Linked DNA regions of Schizosaccharomyces pombe. Changing the gene in region 4 together with the main gene of any one other region gives a genetic interaction. Each region holds a gene or a part of one and is shown on either strand. Other genes may lie near its edges.

Region 1 (5,232 bases), 210 kb from region 4:
GATGAATTGGTTTTATCTATACCACTTCGAACAGTACTCTAGGTTTTTGGACAAAGTTCATGTCCTTAAGGGAGAAACTATTCGCGTTGAAGAGGATCGGAAAGGACTCTTCAACCTTTCCAAAGGAGCACAACAATCTTACGGGAATCAAATGCTCTCAGTAAACTTGCGCCCTCAGGATTTTGATATGAACTCTGTGTTGACAGCATCTACAATGCATCATATTGAATCTTCCCCACAATATATTGAACGTGTTTATTGCTCATGGGAATTAGTCTTGACGGAACACGTCTCTTCTGAATATGCTTTTTTGCTGGAGTACTTTAACCTCTCTAAAGATCAGCAGGCTACCGTTTTTGCCGCTATCTTTGAAAAAACTTTACATTTTTCACGCAAATACATTACAGGATTGATATCAAGCAGTATCGATTGCATAGGTATTTTGAAGTCCATTCGTTTTACTCAAAAATTAGCTTTACAGGCGCAAACTAATATAGTGCCTGTTATTGAGCCACACTATAACTCCATGATTCTTTTTCTGTGGCCTCGCTTTCAAGCTGTCATGGACATGCACTGTGAGTCACTCCGTAAAACTAACTTATCTGTGAAGCCAGAAGAAATCACTTCGCGACCTCATCCACTTTCGCAGCGAGTAGCTGAACTACTTTATAGCCTTTCGATGCTAAGTGTTAATGTCGTAGAAGCCGAGCCTGTTGCACGAAGTGCTTCAAGACTAGCTCAGGATTATGTGAGCATGTTACAAAACCTGTGTAAAACAGTTAATGACAAAAGGAGACAAAGTAGGTTTTTGTCCAATAATTATACCCTCATTTCGACTGTTCTTAGCGGCGTATCGGGAAATTTAGCTATAGAGCAAAAAACATATTTCGAAAAGCTTAATGAAAATTTAACTAATTTCCAATAGCCAAGATTATTAACATATAATAAATTACGTTTTATTCATTTGGTAGGATTCTATATTAAGAAAAAAATTAAAGTAGTTAATTATTTCAGGACACTTTAGTGGTAAACCACAAAAAGCAATATTATGCTTGATGTTCTTTAACAACACGTAAGAATCCAGCAACTCGACCCATATCTACTTCTCCCTGTTGACCGTCACTTTCCACGGCTTGTAACAAACTTTCCAATAATGAATCCACTCGAGATTCATCGACACCGGTGCATAGGGAAACAACCCGACGGCACTTTGATTTTATGTTGGAATTTCGTTGCCAAAGTTTGTTCGCTAATTCGTTTAATCTGGCTTCATTTCTCTCATAAGCAGCAACTTGAAACTTCAATTCAGCAATAGATAAATTTTTGTTGTTGTTTTCATTGACAGTAAAAGGAGCGTCAGCATCCAATGATAATGAATCGTGTATTCCATTGGGATCAAAAGATTCATAAAGATTACTTAATTCACTTTTCTGTTCTTCGATCGAAGTCATAAGATTTTTACAACGTTGCCTTAATTCAAGAAACAAAGTTCTTTGCGTCTCGGACACGTGTAGTTGTTCACGAAGATCGGACAGCTTTTTTGTAGATTCACGCAATTGGGTGTAGGCTGAGTCAATCATAGACTGTTTTGCAGCCATTTCATCCTGAAAATCTTTATCCAGAGAAGATATTACATCGGTCACAGAGGCGATAATGTCTCTACTCTTTTGACGAGGAGGGACAGCAGTCTTTTCTTTGCTGGACAGATTTTCACTCATAAGGGAAACTTTTGTTTGTTTTGAGTCTTCGGGTTGTTTTAATGCGTTTTCAACAAAAATTCCAAAATTTGCTACGCTTAACCCTGCACGATTAGGAATATAAGCGGAAGCTCCGGCTTGCATTAAAACTTCAACAATGTTCTTATTTCCAATTCTTGCTGCGATATTTAAAGCTGTATCCCCATTTTTATCTTGATGATTTAAATAGTTTATGAAGTCTTTCAGCATATATCCGTTGTTACCACTTGCATGTTTCTTTGCCCAATTTAATAAGGTTTCTAAGTAATATCTCGATGCTGAACCTCGGCCTTTTATACCTGCAGTAAGACAAATGTGATGAACGACGGTCCGTCCAGCTCGATCTGTACAGGGAAGAGATGCGTAAAGCAAGTCTAGTAAATCACCAAAAGAGTTCTGATTGAGATGATTGGTTACCAAAACCGATCTCATTAATGCCGTTTCTCCTGTGAGGTTGCCACGTAAAGGATTAGCTCCTTTATGTATTAAGGCTTGTAACAAAGGCATTTTGGCAACGGCTGCTGCCCAGTGCAGAGCGGCGTGTCCAAGTTCGTCAATGGGGACATCCAAATCTAATGAGTCCGACAGCTTTGCTTCTAAGGCGCTGGAATCAGCAAAGTTTACATCTAAAAAGATAGAGGTCAAAATGTCTTTTGATGTATGATAATCCTGCATAATATTCTGATCAAGTGGAGGAAGACTAGAAACCAAGGATACAAAAGAAAGTGAATGGTTCAACCTTGGCGTATCTGGAAACAATGAAGAGGCCTCATTATCATTTAACTGTGAGGAGGGATGTAAGTCTTCATCACTGACATCAATTCTATGCCGTTTTAAACGCTGTTCAAGGATAGGTGGAGAGGTGGAGAGGTAATTGTTAGAGCGTTTAACATTTTGGCTATCAATTTGAGTTAAAGGTAGTAAGAAAGAGGAAGAAGGTGAAGGTGAACTCTGCATATTGTTTATAGTGTGCACCCCATTCTTTGAAGACTTGCTAGGGTTTGAAAAATTATGATTCCTCAAAGGGGATCGCGTATTAAAAGAAGAAGTATTTAAATTTTTGGAGATTGAAGAACTTTCGATTTGTTGCTGCTTTGAAAATTTGGGGAATAAATCAAGATTAAAAGAAATTAATGGTTGTAAAATTTCATAAACCCCATATCGCTTTGCTATAGAAATTGCTCGATCATATGGAACCCATACTCCATCTATTTGAGGGTGTTTGGAGTCAACATTCTCATAGTCCCCACTCTCGATAATATCATCCAATTCTTTGGCGTTTTCAGATGACGAAGTACCAGCAAGTCGAAGTATTTGAGAGATATTAAAGTAAGAATCTGGACATCTTCGAAGAGCAACATTATCCCCACAGCTAAGCTCCATATATTTCATGCCTGAACATTCGACAGCATACAATTCTACGGGTCGGCCATCACGTAAAACTTGGGAGTTAATAAAAATCCTTGAACTAGAGTCTTTTAAAGTAGATGAATCGTTTAGTTTGTTTATATTTCTGTTTGAAAGGGGTTGTGATGGCTCATCCTCTGGGCGTTTTTGGTATGAAAAAGAATCGTTCCCCAGCTCAAACTGGCGAATAAAATTGGCTGAAGCCATTATAGTATATTAAAATAAAAAATGCCGAAAAAATATCGAATTTTTTATAAAGGGCAGCACGTTTTTCTCGAAAATAAGGGTGCTGAACTGACCATGAAAGAAGACTCGAGCTCCTCACCACTTGGTTTGTTTAAGAGATTGTGAATTCCTTTCTTTTTCAAATAAATAGAAGTAATTTTTTCGGATTTCGTGTTATACACAAATTCGCTCTGGGAAGGTTCACGCAGCTGTATACATTTGGTACGGCGTTAGACCGTATTCGAAGTAACGATATATGAGGCTTCCTAAGGAAAACAAAGGACTACTTCAATGTTCGTTTCTTCTGGGGGTTTTATTTAAAGGCTACTTAGAAATGGAATTCTTTCTCATTTCAAATACCCTGTTGAAAAATTTCCAACTTTGCTATACTCAACGACTTTACTGTTTCGGGATATGCAAAAGAGACGGATTTTTCAGTCAATTCTAATTTTCCCTAAATAAAAGTTTTGATGTTGAGTATGAAAAAATTATATTTTTTTATTGGTATTTCTAATACAAAGTAGCTTCCAACTTCCATCTTTTTCAAATAGGTAAATAGATAGACATATTAATGACGTCATATATAGAACGCGACGCGTCGAAATAAATTAAATTTAAGGATAACGTGTTCCTTAAAAGAAATGTAAATAAGCACCAACCAGCATGGAACTAAACTGTCAAGGAAACAGGTTCACTGTGGTGCAGCTTACTTAACAGAACGTTTTCCACTTAAAAACACTGCATTCTTTCGGAAACCTTCATGATCAATACGCCCTGCACGAGAGAAGGGAAACAAAATTGCAATCACTTTGGCAGTGATGAGTCCTGTCGATACTGGGCCAAATTTGTTACTATCACTGTAAACTAGTTAATATCTCTATAGAAGAAAACGAAAAAGTAAAAAAACAATTGTTGGAAACCTACATAGAATGAAATTGTTCATCGCCTTCGACCCACACATGTCCCTCGGGAACGGGTACTAATGACAACTTTTTAGGAGGTCTCGTTTTCATGATATCGTATTCTACTCCTAGAACTCTTTTTACCAATAGTTCCTCTGGGTTTTCTGGAGAGCTTGTTGCTTATTAGTAACGATAAAAAGGGAAACTCAGTACCGAAAGACCCTGCAACGATCCAAGAACTTACCGTAGTATAACTACATCTCCTCTTTTGTAATCCTTATTCCATTTCCAAAGTAGTACCCTATCTCTCTGCAGCATGTTTGTCTCAGGGTTAAAGGCTGGTTTCATAGATCTACCTTCAATTGTACCGACGCTGACTACATGTTGTTCAACGAACATTAATACGGGTACCCATAGGGTAATTCCGACTAAATTTTTAAAAAATACTGATTTAAAAGATTGATTTCGAACGAAAGGGTTTGCCATTTTTTGAGGACAACTGCTAAACTCTCTCCTCTAAGAAGTTTATGATTAACCGTCTGTATGTACCTTAACAAGCATGGGAGTTTCCGTAATTAATAATTAAACCAGGAAAACGTATTAATGAATTTTATCTGATAAGTGTCAGGCTTCTATTCCTGATCGTTTTTGTTTCAATACGGTGTGTTGCAGTAGGTAATTCAAAACCACATTAAGCTTAGCTTCCTTCTAATATTATTATAGCGAAAACTATTATTTACTTAAATTAACAACCATGGTAATAGATACAAAAAAACAAATAAATATTCTGTAAAGAAAAATGTTTTATTTTAAGAATTTATTTCCATTTCGTAAACGTTGTCCAACCAAGCTTTTAGCTACATTTGTTATTGTTAGTAATTTTGCAAACAAACAGGCTATATAGTGTGGAAAAGTAGTCTAATTTACTAAGCACCCACTATGGCTTTTTGAGCAAATACTTA
Region 2 (5,536 bases), 1.7 Mb from region 4:
GGACTTGAAATTTTGAACAAAGTTAATCCAGAAGCTTCATCAGAGTATATGGAGCGACTAATAGCTCGATATCCTGCGCGTCCATCCATTAACAACTCTTATCCGAATCGTAATGTAAGTGTATACTGGTACAAAACGTCTATACTTTCATCTTTTCGTGTATTGAATTTTTTGTCCCTTCTTATTTGAAATCAATCATATGTCGCAATTCTATACTAACATTTACAGGCAGAACATTTTTTTCCAGCATATATCATGCTACTTATTCAGCGCCAAGAATACAATAAAGCTATGAAGTTGCTTGATGAGTATTTGCTGTTACCACCCTACAATCAGAATCCTGCATTGCATGAGTATTCCGGAATGTTGTGTTTTGAACTTGCCAAGGAGGAAGCTTCAGAATCTGAGCGAACTAAATGGATTGAAAAGGCGAAATACAACTTTTCAAACGCAGGAATTGACGTCGAATTGTAGATTTAACATTCCCATGGCATTTCAAAAAGCACATTAGTATATTTAATATTTTAGATTGACCATCAGAAAAATTATGTATATTAGCAAATAATAAGATGGGAAGATACATTTAAATTTAAATTTAAAACTAATCATTAGATAGCCAACGACTGTATAAAAAGATTGTTAAATATCTATAAGTTCAAGTTGGTATTTATATAAAAAACATAAAGAATGCAAAAAATAAGATAACGAAAGAAAAAATTATTTTGAATAATAATTTAAAACCAAAAAAATTAAGATCCACTTTGATCTGTATTAATCGTATTATACATTCCCATAGAAAGCAAGTTCAAAATTTCGTTAATTTTCTGTTTCCGTTGCGCTTGCAATGAGCATAATTGCTCAACGAGCTTTTCACGAGCAGCTTCGTTTTCAGCTGTAAAAAGATCAACTTCGTGTTTTGAGCTTAAAGACGAACGGTTCGTTTTAGTATCATGACCAACAAGGTTTTTGGTCTCCGAGATATCAGCTAACTCATCAGTACTCCATATTTGAGAAAAGTAAGTTACGTATTTTTTTAATTGATGAAGCTGAACTGTTTCAAGGTAATATCTAGCAGTTTTCAATGTATGCAGAAATTTTTTACACTGGTGAATCAAATCCTCCCGCTGATTTACCAAGTAGTTCTCGTCATTATTGGTACGTTCATTCCATAATCTTTGGCAAGTTTCAGTTTCCCGAACTGTTTGCTCCAACGCCTCCATTGCCAAATTATAGGTTAGTTGTTTTTCAGCAAGAGATGCTTCATGGCATTTTGAAAGTTCGCTCAGCTGAGTGAAGACATTGGGAAGGGTTTGGTGAGTAAGTTTATTAGAAAAGTAAGAAATAGGTTTTTTGGACGATAAGTGGTCATCAAGTGATTGCGGATATTTTAAGTTATCTATCAAATTATCCTCGATTTTGGAATTTAAGGGGGAATCATCATTTTCGGGAAAAGACATGTCTTTCGAAGACAAAAAATCTGTTGGGTATTGGCCCTGATTATTTGGTATGGAGGATGATGCATAAAAGGATAATAATAATCTCGCGCATTTCTTTGCACCATTTCTAGCGCAGATCAAAAGAGCGGTATCCCCATGATCATCCTGAAGGTTTATAATTTGGGCAGCGACATCAACGGATTGTGTTGCAGTTAAATTTTGCAATAAGATATCCATATAATAACGAGCGGCTTCCATCTTTGATTTAGAAGAAGCTAATAATGCGATGTGGTGAAAGACGGTTTGGCCAAAAGAGTCGTTCATGCAGATAGCAGATTGAAGCAACTCCGAAACTACCTCAAAAGTCTGTAAATCATAGTTCATGGTAAACATTACACAGCGCATCAAAGATGTTTGTTGAAGGTAATTGACAGCAACTACGTTGGCGCCTGCTTGCAATAGTGCATGCATCATTTCCAAATTTCCCATTGCAGCAGCCCAATGAAGTGCTGTATGACCATCCTCATCAATGCCAGCATTAACATCCCAATCTGATGGCCGATCATATACGAAATCAGGAGGTTGTGTAGTATTTGGTAATAAAAAGTAATCCAAGAGAGACTGCGCATAATTGTTTGAAGAAAACGGAGAAGCTTTGATATCGTGCAAAGATCCCGTAAAGGAATCAGAAGGCATATCGGGAGAGCGCGTGAAATCAGATTGAAGAGACAAAGCATCATGGATTCCTGACATTCTAGAAGTAGATGTCATATTATTGGAAGATGTGTAAGGGTAGAGTAAAGAATGCGAAGGCCGGGAAAATGACTTTTTTACTGGACTGTTTCGTCGATATGCTTCTGTAGGCTTACGATTGCTCTGAGGAGTGAACGTAGACATTGGCATGAACGCAGAGCCAGAGTATTCAATCAGAGGTTGTATTAAATCAAAAACATTATATTCATGAGCAAGTTCAACAGCTCTTTCAGAGGGTACCCAAGTTCCTGAATGAATAGTTAGTAACAGGCATCCAAAAAAGTATAAATTGATAAATAAAAACAACAGAGACAAAAATTTTATGTTATTTAAGTAGTTTTAAACCTATTGATATAGTAAGAAGTTAACACAAACCTTGATATTTTCCACAACCACCTTGAATTTTTTCATGAAGTCCCTTTTGAGCGAATTTCTCCAGAATCCTTGTCCTCCTGGGTTTATCGAGCTCTGCAATTTTAAGGATTTGCGTGGCATTAAGCCAGTTATCATGACAACGTTTCATTAAAGGAAAGCCATTGATCGTATACTCAAATACTTCCACTCCTGAATAGGTGATTTTATGTATTTGGTCGTTATACATAACGGCACTATTGGCAAGCAATTTAAAAAAAAGGAAGGAAGGAAGAGCTTCAAAACTTGATGCAATAACAACGTTTCGTCTCTCTAAATGTTTGTAATAATTTAATGTCTCAACTCCACAGCGCCAGCTATTAATATCATATAAAAAAAAAAACGAAGCAAATGAGAAAGAAGAAGCAAATTGAAATTTCCTCTACAAAATATCGATAGTTTTTGAAAACCGAGTATTTATAGCAGATAAAGTCGGAAATACATATGATACTAACTGCATGCACTAAAGAAAGGATATATTCTCTCAGCGGCGTTTGCCTCAAAGATTTTTTCAATTAAAAAGTATTTAACTCTATGTTTTGAGTTAAAAACAGATGTTTTTAAAGACCTCTGCTATCCCTAAAAATCCACGTATCTTACCAGCTGATGTAAGATACTCAACTACCAAGAACTTTAATATGTAAGGACAGAAACCTTTCGAAACTTTCCAGATCACGATTTGTATAATTTAAATCAAAAAGCTGTAGATTTGGGTTTATCGACTACGGAGCCGATTTAGTCCGGATTTTTTCAACAGCGAGATCTCAGAAAAATCGAAAAACACTGCTTCTTACTCACCAAAAAAATCCCTAAAATCACAGTAAAGTGCTTCAGGAAATGCGGATCCTTTTTTTGATAAAAAGGAAATTTGCTTGCTTTTTTAAGATCTCACACAAACAGAACTAAATCTTTCACCCTCTCTTATGGTGAGTTAGTGGTAAACGATAAATACTTGAAGGTTACATATTAGTAACTCAATTATTGTACCATTCGATTCCACTATGTTAAACCAATTGTATTACATAAATGATAAAGAATTTCATTGTTCAACTCGAGTTTTTCTAATAAACCATTTTTATTTATAGACTGCAGTGACTACTTATTCAAATTCACATTGAATATGAGAATAAAAACATTCCAAAATTTCTTAACATTTTCTTGTCATAATAAAAAGTTAATCACCAGGCTTCTGTTTAAAGGTTTTACCATTATTTAATATTTGGTATTTCAAACACAGAGCATAAATACCCGTCGCAGAATTGAAAAATAAAATCCTAAATTTTTTATAATTGCCCATTATATGCGTCTTTCGAACGTAAATAATCATCACTAAAAACCAAATCCTACAAATTTTTACAAAAATAATACACAAATACCATTTTGTGAAACATTAATTATCCCTCAACTCAATATTTTGGTAGCTTCATTCCTAACTGTCATCTTGGAAAGATTCGAATAACACAAAAGAAGAAACAAACACAAAAAAAACAGATTCACGGAACTAATCAAAAGATAGATGGATATGTGCAAAACAAAAGCTTAACAAGTAAACCAATTTCCTTCGTCTATTATAGAGAAATTTTTGAATACCGCTAAATGCAATCGCTTTATAGAAAATTCCTTCTAATATGAGTTGTATCTATCACCACAAATATACAGATAAAAAAATTCTATAACATATGTAAATACCAACTAACTTCACTCTCTTTAAAAAAGCAAAGCTAAAAACCAAAAAAGATACTTATCCAATTATTCTCTTTCCTCCTTCCAAATTTTTAAAAGAAACATTACCATAAGCTCATTTGGCTTGGTACTGCTGTCTGTAAGCATCCATTGCCTTTGATTCAGCTGCAGTTAAGTCTGATTTGGTAAAGTCAACAATGTCGTCCAAAGTAAGGATGGAGGAAACGGGTAAGTTAAGCTCCTTCTTCAATCTACCAATGGTACTTTCGTTTACTTCGGGGTCCAGTCGCTCTTGGCGGTCAAGCAAAAGGACGATACCAGCCAATTTTACGTGCTTAGGTTCTAAGAAGGAAATTGCTTCACGAATGGCAGTTCCAGCGGTAATAACATCATCCAAAAGTAAAACCTTTTTACCTTCCATTTCGGCGCCTACAAGGTTACCTCCTTCACCATGGGACTTGGCCTCTTTGCGGTTATAGGCAAATCCATAGCTCTTTCCAGTTTTTTCATAAAGTTTGACGGCCGTTATAGCAGCCAAAGAGATACCCTTATAAGCAGGACCAAATATGACATCAAAATCAACGTTCATAGCGATAATAGTCTCGGCATAGGCTTCTGCAAGAGCGCATAAATCGGCACCATGAGTGAAATTACCAGAATTGAAGAAGTATGGAGATTTTCTGCCTGATTTTAAGGTGAAAGTTCCAAACTTCAAAACATTATGTTCTAAGGCACGACGCAACAACTCAAGTTTATAAGACATGTTTACTACTAGTTTTGTTGATAAACGTTGATACTCACAAAAGAAAAAAGCTAGTATCACCTTTTCTAAGCTCTACATGGGGGTTATGTGGGGGAATAAACAAAAATCATAACTAAAGAAAAATGCAAGTTTGTAGGCAAACTACTCAATCTATAATCTAATGTGCAAAAGAGAATTAATGTCCTATCAAAATGGACTTTTTTCCTTTTATTAAAAAGTTTGACAAGTGCTTTTGAAGAAGCGAAATAATCTTGTCTCTGATAAAGTGCAATCGTTAACTTCCACTCAATTCAACCATGTTGGCTGAATTTTATCAATAACGCTCATATACTGGTTCACTCGATCCAAATTTCTGACATGTGAGTCTCCAGTCCAGAAAAGTTTCCAAGGTGTTTTGCTTGACTTTAAGGAGCCTACACTTCTTTCAAAGTACCATTTATTGACTGGATTAGTCAGGCGAGAGCGCCATATCAACTCTTTGGGAAATAAA
Region 3 (5,341 bases), 1.3 Mb from region 4:
CCAACACCAAACTCTGGGTACAATCTTCACTGTACATTCGTGATTAAAGAATAATCGATTGTTGAGTGTTTAATATCAGTTGTTCAATTCAAAGGCATTCCCAAAGCAGGAGACAGTATTGTCTACATTAACAATGGCTTATCTTATTGATATACCATTTGAATACTTCTCTTCTTTCCTTGGAGTCCACCCGGATCAGCTCAAGTTACTGTTTTGTTTTCTTTCAGCATACCCGTTTGCCGGCATACTAAAAAGACTTCCTTCGGCTCCATGGATTAGAAACTTATTTTCAATAAGCATAGGTTTATTTTATCTCATTGGTGTTCATCATCTTTACGATGGCGTTTTAGTTTTGCTATTTGACGCTTTGTTCACATATTTCGTGGCCGCGTTTTATCGATCGTCACGAATGCCATGGATCATATTTATAGTAATCCTTGGCCATACATTTAGCAGCCATGTTATTCGGTACATTTACCCTTCAGAAAATACTGATATTACTGCTTCACAAATGGTACTATGTATGAAGCTTACAGCGTTTGCCTGGTCTGTTTACGACGGTCGTCTTCCTTCAAGTGAATTATCTTCTTATCAAAAAGACCGCGCGTTGAGAAAGATTCCTAATATCTTGTATTTCCTTGGATACGTATTTTTCTTTCCCTCATTACTTGTTGGTCCAGCTTTTGATTATGTTGATTACGAAAGGTTTATAACCCTTTCTATGTTTAAGCCTTTGGCTGATCCTTATGAAAAACAGATAACACCACACAGTTTGGAACCAGCCTTAGGTCGTTGCTGGCGAGGTCTGTTGTGGCTGATTTTATTTATTACCGGAAGCTCAATCTATCCTTTAAAGTTTCTACTTACACCTAAGTTTGCTTCCTCCCCTATTTTGCTAAAATATGGATACGTTTGCATAACTGCTTTTGTTGCAAGAATGAAATATTATGGCGCATGGGAACTTTCTGACGGTGCATGTATATTGTCAGGCATTGGTTATAATGGCCTGGATTCTTCTAAGCATCCTCGTTGGGATCGAGTGAAGAATATTGACCCTATTAAGTTCGAATTCGCAGATAATATCAAATGTGCTCTTGAGGCTTGGAACATGAATACCAATAAATGGCTTCGAAATTACGTTTATTTGAGAGTTGCAAAGAAGGGAAAGCGTCCAGGGTTCAAAAGTACGCTAAGCACATTCACTGTTAGTGCAATGTGGCATGGAGTTTCTGCTGGATATTATTTGACTTTTGTTTCCGCAGCCTTTATCCAAACAGTTGCAAAATACACGCGTCGCCATGTTCGCCCATTTTTCCTTAAACCAGATATGGAAACTCCTGGGCCTTTTAAGCGAGTCTATGATGTTATTGGTATGGTAGCAACAAACCTCTCTCTCTCCTATCTAATTATCTCTTTCCTTCTTTTGAATCTAAAAGAATCAATACACGTTTGGAAAGAGCTATATTTTATTGTGCATATATATATATTGATAGCTCTGGCTGTGTTCAATTCCCCAATAAGGTCGAAATTAGATAATAAGATACGATCCAGAGTCAACAGCTATAAACTAAAAAGTTACGAACAATCTATGAAATCCACTAGTGATACGGACATGTTAAATATGTCGGTGCCCAAAAGAGAAGATTTTGAAAATGATGAATGAAGGATTAATTTGCTATGAGGTAGCATCATATGCAATAAATTGAAGCATTTGAATATTTTGCAGCTTTGTTAACAGCAATTTCATCTTAATTGTTCATCATATACAATACCTTTCATGGCGGCAGTATATTCATTGTGTTTATATATATGTTTACATATTAAAGTAGTCTCTTAAATAAAATTCCTGAATGTTTTCTCTCAATTCAGTTTTTAAGTTTAACATCTAATTTCCTTTGATGATTTATTTTGGTTACAACATTATGAGAGTTTGAATTTATTTTGCTTTAGTATCTGGTAGTAGGTAACGTTGCTATATCTAGTACCTTAGTCCACTAAATTCAACACGAACGCGCTATAGAACTTGAGCGATTCTTATTAAAGAACTTTTTTGAGGGTATGAACTGAATGGAATTAGGCAAAAGCAAATTCTCTTGGAAGGACTTGCAATATTGTGATAAAGCAGGTACACAAAATTCACCGTTAAGGGTTGTAGCTCATATTGATCAGGATGCTTTTTACGCTCAAGTCGAAAGTGTTCGCCTAGGATTAGACCATTCAGTTCCCCTTGCTGTTCAACAATGGCAAGGGCTTATTGCTGTAAACTACGCAGCCCGTGCAGCGAATATTTCACGCCATGAAACAGTTACTGAAGCAAAAAAGAAATGTCCAGAGCTTTGTACCGCTCATGTAAAAACTTGGAAAGCTGGGGAGTCAGAGGCTAAGTACCATGAAAACCCAAATCCTAACTACTATAAAACCTGTTTAGATCCTTATCGGCACGAAAGCGTTAAGATTCTTAACATCATAAAGAAACATGCGCCTGTGGTTAAGAAGGCTAGTATTGACGAATGTTTTATTGAACTTACGAGTGATGTTAAACGGATTGTGTTGGAGGAATATCCTTACTTGAAAATTCCCTCTGAGGACTCAAATGTTGCTTTGCCGCAGGCTCCAGTGCTACTATGGCCTGCTGAGTTTGGAATGGTCATTGAAGAAGAAGTTGTAGATAGAACGAAAGAAGATTATGAAAGGGATTGGGATGATGTTTTTTTATTTTACGCTGCAAAAATCGTGAAAGAAATTCGCGATGATATATACTTGCAACTCAAATACACGTGCTCAGCAGGAGTTTCTTTTAACCCAATGCTTTCAAAGCTTGTCAGCTCGCGTAATAAACCAAACAAGCAAACTATTTTAACGAAAAATGCAATTCAAGATTATTTAGTGTCATTAAAGATTACTGATATAAGAATGCTGGGCGGAAAATTTGGAGAAGAAATAATTAATTTATTAGGAACAGATTCTATTAAGGATGTTTGGAATATGAGTATGGACTTTTTGATAGATAAGCTTGGTCAAACTAACGGTCCACTCGTTTGGAATTTGTGCCATGGAATTGATAACACTGAGATTACTACACAAGTTCAGATTAAATCAATGTTGTCGGCTAAAAATTTTTCTCAGCAAAAAGTGAAGTCTGAAGAAGATGCAATTAACTGGTTTCAAGTATTCGCATCTGATCTTCGATCACGATTCCTTGAACTTGAAGGAATGAGAAGGCCCAAGACCATTTGTTTGACTGTTGTATCAAGATTTCTGAGAAAGTCAAGGTCAAGTCAAATACCTATGAATGTTGATATTAGCACTCAGTTTATTGTTGAAGCAACATCCAAACTGTTGCGTCAACTGCAACAGGAATTCGATGTATATCCGATTTCAAACTTATCTATTAGCTTTCAAAACATCATAGAGGTTGATCGTAATTCTAGGGGAATTGAGGGTTTTTTAAAAAAGTCCAATGATGAAATCTACATGTCTACTTCTGTTTCACCTTCTATTGAGGGACGCGCTAAATTATTGAACGAAAATATGAGGGAAAATAATTCTTTTGAATTATCTTCGGAAAAAGATATAAAGTCACCTAAAAGGTTGAAAAGAGGTAAAGGTAAAGGGATTTTTGATATGCTACAACAGACCGCTGTTTCTAAACCAACGGAGAATTCAGCTGATGAAACTTACACGTGTGAAGAATGCGAACAGAAAATTACTTTATCCGAAAGAAATGAACATGAAGATTATCATATAGCTCTCTCCATTTCGAGAAAAGAACGCTATAATAACTTAGTACCGCCATCCCATGATAAACCTAAGCAAGTAAAGCCTAAAACATATGGAAGGAAAACCGGTAGCAAGCATTATGCACCTTTATCCGATGAAACAAACAACAAAAGAGCATTTTTGGACGCATTTTTAGGAAACGGTGGAAATCTGACACCAAATTGGAAAAAGCAAACGCCAAAAGCAATTTCCAACAGCTCAGACAACATGACCCAGTTACACTTAGATTTGGCTAATTCCACCGTAACTTGTTCAGAATGTTCTATGGAGTACAATTCAACGAGCGAAGAAGATATTTTGCTTCATTCTAGGTTTCATTCTCGGGTTCTAGGAGGTGTTACTGTGTCCTTTCAATGCTCTCCTATTTATCGCGTTAACTATGGTTTGAGTTCCGATTGCATATACAGCATAAATTCAGAAAGCTCATTAATTGATCAAAGAAAAGCAGAGGAAGCTTTATCTTTCGTAAATAACGAACTTTCAAGTGAGCCTATTGAAACAATTGGGGTAGATAAATATACCACATTTCTATTCATATCAGATAAGAAATGTGTCGGATTACTTCTGGCAGAGCGTATATCTTCTGCATACATAGTCGATGAACTTGAACTCAACAACAACAATAGCACCTCTTCCGCAGTATATATAAAAAACGAAAATCTACGAAAGGGGTTTGTATTGGGTATTTCCAGGATTTGGGTATCAGCTTCAAGACGCAAACAAGGGATAGCAAGTTTACTATTAGACAATGCTTTAAAAAAATTCATTTACGGTTACGTTATATCGCCTGCAGAAGTTGCTTTTAGTCAGCCTAGTGAAAGTGGTAAACAGTTCATTATTTCGTGGCATCGTTCTCGAAACAATGGTTCTTCGAAGTCACTTCGATATGCTGTTTATGAAAGTTGAAAATAGTCTGACAAAATTAAAGTTGTTCTAAATATCTATCTAAGCGTTATATAGAAGTTTTTTTTTTAAATTATTAATTAATCATTAATGAAAACCGTTTTGTTTAACGAAATGTTTGGCTTTGCCTAATGAATGATGCTTAAGGGCATCTATTACAACTGGGAACACTTCCTCTTTAACATCCTGGCCCCATAGAAAGTCAAGATGTTCATAATGAGCAATCTAACTTATATTAGCATATTGAGCAACAAACCTATAAAATAAAAGGCTTACCGAAACTTCCTTTGCATGGGGAGGAAGAGCAGTTCTCATTACTTCCATATTGATCAAAGTATCTTTACCTCCCCATAGTATCAGCATTGGGCATTTGATATTATTCGTAGGAAACAGAGGAACTTGGTAATGGCGTGAACCATATCCAGCTAGAAGAGCCATATCGTCGTCATAAAGCTGGAAAGTACAGTTTTTTATAATCTGAAGCCAGTGAACAACACTCTTTACACTTGAAAAAGAGTAAAGATGTGCATAACCGCAAAGTTTTTGATTAAGAGAAATGTTGGATAGGTCCCAGTTGAATAAAATTTTAAGGGATACATCGACAATTTTTACAAAAATTGGGGGATCTGTAGAGTAAGCAGATGAAGTTGAAATTTAA
Region 4 (4,491 bases):
CTTGGTGCTTGGTTTTGCGCCGAAAGATGGATTAATGATTTCTTGTTTACTGGTGAAGGTAGCAGTGAACTTGAAGCAGTAAGTGGTAATGTTAAGGCTCATGGAATAGACAAAGCTAGAGAGAATTTTGAGGCGCATTGGAAAAGTTGGATTGGTATTGAAGATTTTTCTTATATGAAACAGCACTTAGTTAATAGTGTACGAATACCTCTTGGATATTGGTCATTAGGAAATGATGAATTGGTTAAAGGAACGCCATTTGAGCCTTATGCTGAAGTATATCGTAATAGCCTACACATCTTGTGTGAGAAAATTCAAGAAGCAGGAAGCCTTTCGATCGGTGTGCTTTTAGACTTCCATGGGGTGTATGGAGGAGGAAATTGTGACGGACATTCCGGTACATCGTCTGGAAAGGCAGAATTTTATGAAAAGCAAGAATATCAAGACAGAACAGTGGAAGCCGTTAAATTTTTATCGTCGAAGATTGGTCAGTTTGAAAATGTTATTGGTATTCAAGTAATTAATGAACCGATCTGGGGCCAATATGATGTTCTTGCTAATTTCTATCAAAAAGCTCGCTCTGTTGTTCCTTCCTATCTTCCTGTCTATATTGGTGATGGATGGGATAAAGATCGTATGTCAATTCCATATAGTCATATCATTTTCAATGCTAACAGGATACAGATTGGGTGAATTGGGTGAATGATCATGAATCTGAAGGATTCTATGTGGTTGATCATCATAGCTATTTCTGTTTTGGCGGCGAATTATGCCATGCACCCCCAAAGCTTATAACCAGAAGACTTGATACTGGTGAAGAATACGGTAAAACCAAACTTTCCAATATAGTTATTGGCGAATGGAGTTGTACTTTAAGCCAAGAATCATGGAGCCAAACAAAGCTCCACGATAAAAGAAGACGTGACTTTGGTGAAGCTCAACTGAACCAGTATTTGAATTATTGCGGAGGATGCTTCTTTTGGACTTATAAATTCCTTCACGGAAAAGGTGGAGATTGGGATTTTAGATCTGTTGTAGAGGACAAGGTAATCAATTACCCTCCTCCTCCCCCTACCGAAAACAAAGCCATGCCGGCCTTACTTGAACAAAGTCGGGATCAAAACTTTGGTGGACATTGCTATTATTGGGATCAGAAACAACATGATCATCCATATGAACATGATTTATATGTTAAAGGATGGAATCAAGCCTGGGAGGACTACATTGAGTTTCTTCAGCATGGGGCCATGATCGGATTTCCTCGTGCATGGACTCAAAAAAGGATGACAAGTATTTCTTCTGCTTCTGCTTGGGAATATCGTGACGGTATGAATGCGGCCTGGTTGCATCTCGAGCGTATGGGCTTTCTCAATCCTTTTCGTCACCCATAATTCCATAATGTCTGTCTTAATGACCTTTATACTCTATGTTTATGCTTTTGTTTATCCGCACAAAAATTTAATGTGTTTGGTAACCCTCCTGCTAATCTCTATTCCCTTACCCACTTTTTGTCGTTAAATTTTGCTTGTTGTATTCACATCCTTGTTACATATGTTTAATTTTGGTAGATTAAAAATTCTGTTGATTTTCTTTTATAAAATTCTCTAAAAGATAATTAAAGGATTAATATTAACGACTTACTATTGAATTTTTTAATAGAGAAATGAAATAATAGAACGTTTAAATAAAGAATCCAAGCATTTTTCTTTGTTTACATCCTTTGTTTACAATACGCAATCTTAGCATAGTAAAACAAAGAAAGGATACGTAGTAGTGCGTACGTATTTTACCCACACTCGCTTTTTACCGCACTCTTGAACTATATATACATGTACTACCTCGAGCTGGAAGTAGTACAGTAAAATTCGTATATTGCTATTAATCCTTTTTTATCTTATTTAAACATCAAGGAGTAGTATTTATTGACGTTATCAAAGCAAAACTTTACTTTGACACTGTATTAATACACCAGGCATCTCTCTATTACATAGTGTCGGCTACAATTGACTTAAAAGAATTGTTTTAAATCTAATTGCTAAAGCTGAAACTGTTTAAAATTTAGAATATTTAAACTTATACATTATATTAAACTTTTATGCAATTTAGCTTGACGGCAATACGATAATATCTTTTTAATTCCTAGGTCTCATATATTATTCTTGCTGTTGAGCTTAAAACCATAAAACAGCCTTACGTTTGTTTCTGAACGACAAACTATTACCATATATTGAATTGACTTTCCTGAATTTATACCCTTATTTTCTTTATTAAAGCTTTGAACGTCATGGATTCTGATCGTTGTTTAACAGACGAAATTTCATTAAATACGCTTTCATCTACTTTTGCTAGTGATAATAACTTAAGAAGGAAAGAGAATTTTTTGAAAAGTAGATACCCTTCAAAATTTGATTTAAATGTTTCAATGTTAACGAAGAGTGATGACGTTGGAAAGACCCCGTTTTCAATTTTCGATTCACCAAGCAATCCTGGCTTTTCTCGGTCGCACCAAATGTGTTCTGACAAAAACAAGAGTCCCTTCCTCTTTGATAAGATTAGGGATGAACCCGTTTCTGTCGATCCCGTTAAACTTATCATTAATAATCGGAACAAACGGAAAATTAATAGACAGAAATCAAGGCTTCAAGGCCTTTATCGGTCCGATGCTAATGGTTTGCAACCATTGAATTCTGAAAATGTCAAAATGAAAAAATCAACTGCCTTGTCGTTGACAAGTTCACCCTTAAACTCTTGGAAAACTGATTTCAAAACACCGCCGAAAGCTAATGTTGTTTGTATCTCTTTAGTTATTGAAGGAGACGGCTGCGCATCATTGCTGTACGAAGATTTGAATCAGATTTCCAATAGTTGCCCTGAAGTAGCACCGAACCGTCAGAACGCTCTCTTTTCAGACGAAACGCTGACAACTATGTTCTATAGTGGTGTCACGGAGGATGAGGGCTCATGTAACAATTTACTACAATCTAGCTTCGGTGATGATCTGGACTTGGGAATGCAACGGTCTGCAACTTGGGCACCGGGCTATAATTATCCAAGCAAATTTGATAGCATACCTTTTGCTTCAGCATCTCCAAAAATAAAAGCAGCTTTCCCTTTCGATCCCAACGTTTATGCATTGAATACTAACGATGGTCCAGTCACGAGTACTGATAATAATTGTGATCAATTAAACACTAGGATGCAGGCATGGAATAATGGCTTTAATTACTCAAACCTAAATGGTGATATCCAATATCCTGCTGTTACACCAAAATTTTTTCAACAAGAAGGCCGGGCCCTTAATGTTTCCGACTGTAATTTTGGAAATGAAGAAATTGCTTACGGTGGAATTCCTATGCGTGTTTGTCATAGTGATAGCACATTATGTGATGCCAGAATTGCAGCTAAGCAAGCTTTAAAAGGTAAAAGGCAATATGACACATCAACATCAAAAGCAGAGCTCTCTACTCCCCCATCAAAACGAAGGCATATTGATGATGCCGATTTAGTTTTTCACAGTAGTCCCTTACTGTCACGCTCGCGATTCATTTGTTGCTACTGCACGAAGCCTTTCCTTTCAATTAGTAAACTTCAGGAACATGAGTCCTCGTGTTCACATGTTGAGCGACTCTTTGGGTTTGCCCCAAATCGTCTTTATGATGATGGTGATGGATTTTTGGGTTCGAGTTTTTGCAGTGATTGGTAAGATTATAGCATGTTTCGCTGCATCTATTTGATTGTCCAGCAGCTGAGATTGCTACGATTTATTCTTTATTTAAAACACATTTATTTCATGCTTTATTACTTATCATTAATCTTGTACTTTAATTTAATTTTTCATAGTTATTAATCTTTAATTAGTGTTTATGAGGCGATCTTTGAAGTCTCTCTTTTGTTTTTAGAATTAGCATTTTTTTCAAACAAGTAATTGCCAACTAACATAAAAATATTAATAAATTCATACATTTCAATTAACATCTGGTGAGCCAAGAGTGAGTTGTAGAATAATATTTAATGCTCATAATACCTATTCCACATCTATGTCATTCAAAATGTTAGACATCCAGTGGGGATGTGGCCATACACGAGCTATAACTTTAGCCTTAATAAGGCCCATTGGAACAGGTCCGTAATTTCGACTATCAAGTGAGTGAGCAATGTTATCTCCTGCAAGCCAAACATGACCTAAAGGTATAGTTATTTTTTTATTTGAAGAGGTGGGATCGACATAAATTGTATCTCCTGGCTATAAAATTAGTACAAAAAGGATAACGTTCCATGTGAAATACTCACCATTCCAATGATTCGTTTGCACACGTGTTGCTTTGAATCGGAAGGTTTTGCCGAAACAACAACATCTCCTACAGAACATGAACGAGCAAACCTACCATGCAATTTATCTAACAAAACGAATTCACCACTTTTTAAGTTAGAACCATAAATACAAAGCGTTATTTCAATACCCAGAATTTAATGTTGGCATCATACTTGGAC

Evidence for each region.
Region 1: of rep1 (region 4) and cdc10, extra expression of one rescues a mutant of the other (dosage rescue), as found in Schizosaccharomyces pombe (one study listed by BioGRID).
Region 2: of rep1 (region 4) and res1, extra expression of one rescues a mutant of the other (dosage rescue), as found in Schizosaccharomyces pombe (2 studies listed by BioGRID).
Region 3: of rep1 (region 4) and eso1, a mutation in one rescues a mutant of the other (synthetic rescue), as found in Schizosaccharomyces pombe (one study listed by BioGRID).

The regions. Positions count from the first base shown.
Region 1 is NC_003423.3:2,760,241-2,765,472, forward strand, and holds cdc10 (DNA-binding transcription factor, MBF transcription factor complex subunit Cdc10), read right to left. Parts: upstream 3,561-5,232; 5' UTR 3,351-3,560; coding exon 1,047-3,350; 3' UTR 926-1,046; downstream 1-925. Other genes in the region: GARP complex subunit Vps52, read left to right, coding at 1-925; mmp2 (endopeptidase catalytic subunit), read right to left, coding at 4,075-4,225, 4,293-4,442, 4,515-4,756; PAN complex subunit Ppk26, read right to left, coding at 5,080-5,127. UniProt on the Schizosaccharomyces pombe protein: Major component of the cell cycle transcription factor complex MBF (MCB binding factor, also known as DSC1), that controls G1-S phase specific gene expression. Involved in the control of rRNA production, via interaction with pol5.
Region 2 is NC_003423.3:1,230,589-1,236,124, reverse strand, and holds res1 (MBF transcription factor complex subunit Res1), read right to left. Parts: upstream 3,540-5,536; 5' UTR 2,791-3,539; coding exon 2,565-2,790; intron 2,438-2,564; coding exon 750-2,437; 3' UTR 538-749; downstream 1-537. Other genes in the region: RNA polymerase I transcription factor subunit Rrn11, read left to right, coding at 1-114, 229-474; orotate phosphoribosyltransferase Ura5, read right to left, coding at 4,399-5,046; acetylglutamate synthase Arg6, read right to left, coding at 5,332-5,536. UniProt on the Schizosaccharomyces pombe protein: Acts as a positive regulator of the mitotic cell cycle and as a negative regulator of sexual differentiation. May be involved in the transcriptional regulation of the cdc22 and cdt1 genes. Is an integral component of the DSC1-like complex.
Region 3 is NC_003423.3:4,276,318-4,281,658, reverse strand, and holds eso1 (mitotic cohesin N-acetyltransferase/DNA polymerase eta Eso1 fusion protein), read left to right. Parts: upstream 1-2,005; 5' UTR 2,006-2,067; coding exon 2,068-4,686; 3' UTR 4,687-4,770; downstream 4,771-5,341. Other genes in the region: ale1 (MBOAT family O-acyltransferase), read left to right, coding at 134-1,663; SPOM_SPBC16A3.12C (triglyceride lipase-cholesterol esterase), read right to left, coding at 4,771-4,908, 4,960-5,309. UniProt on the Schizosaccharomyces pombe protein: Probable acetyltransferase required for the establishment of sister chromatid cohesion and couple the processes of cohesion and DNA replication to ensure that only sister chromatids become paired together.
Region 4 is NC_003423.3:2,974,882-2,979,372, forward strand, and holds rep1 (MBF transcription factor activator Rep1), read left to right. Parts: upstream 1-1,816; 5' UTR 1,817-2,284; coding exon 2,285-3,703; 3' UTR 3,704-3,957; downstream 3,958-4,491. Other genes in the region: cell wall glucan 1,3-beta-glucosidase Exg3, read left to right, coding at 1-634, 685-1,391; mmp1 (endopeptidase catalytic subunit), read right to left, coding at 4,025-4,243, 4,291-4,417, 4,461-4,491. UniProt on the Schizosaccharomyces pombe protein: Transcriptional activator that controls the onset of premeiotic DNA synthesis by regulating res2 and some other factor(s) in a mei2 independent cascade.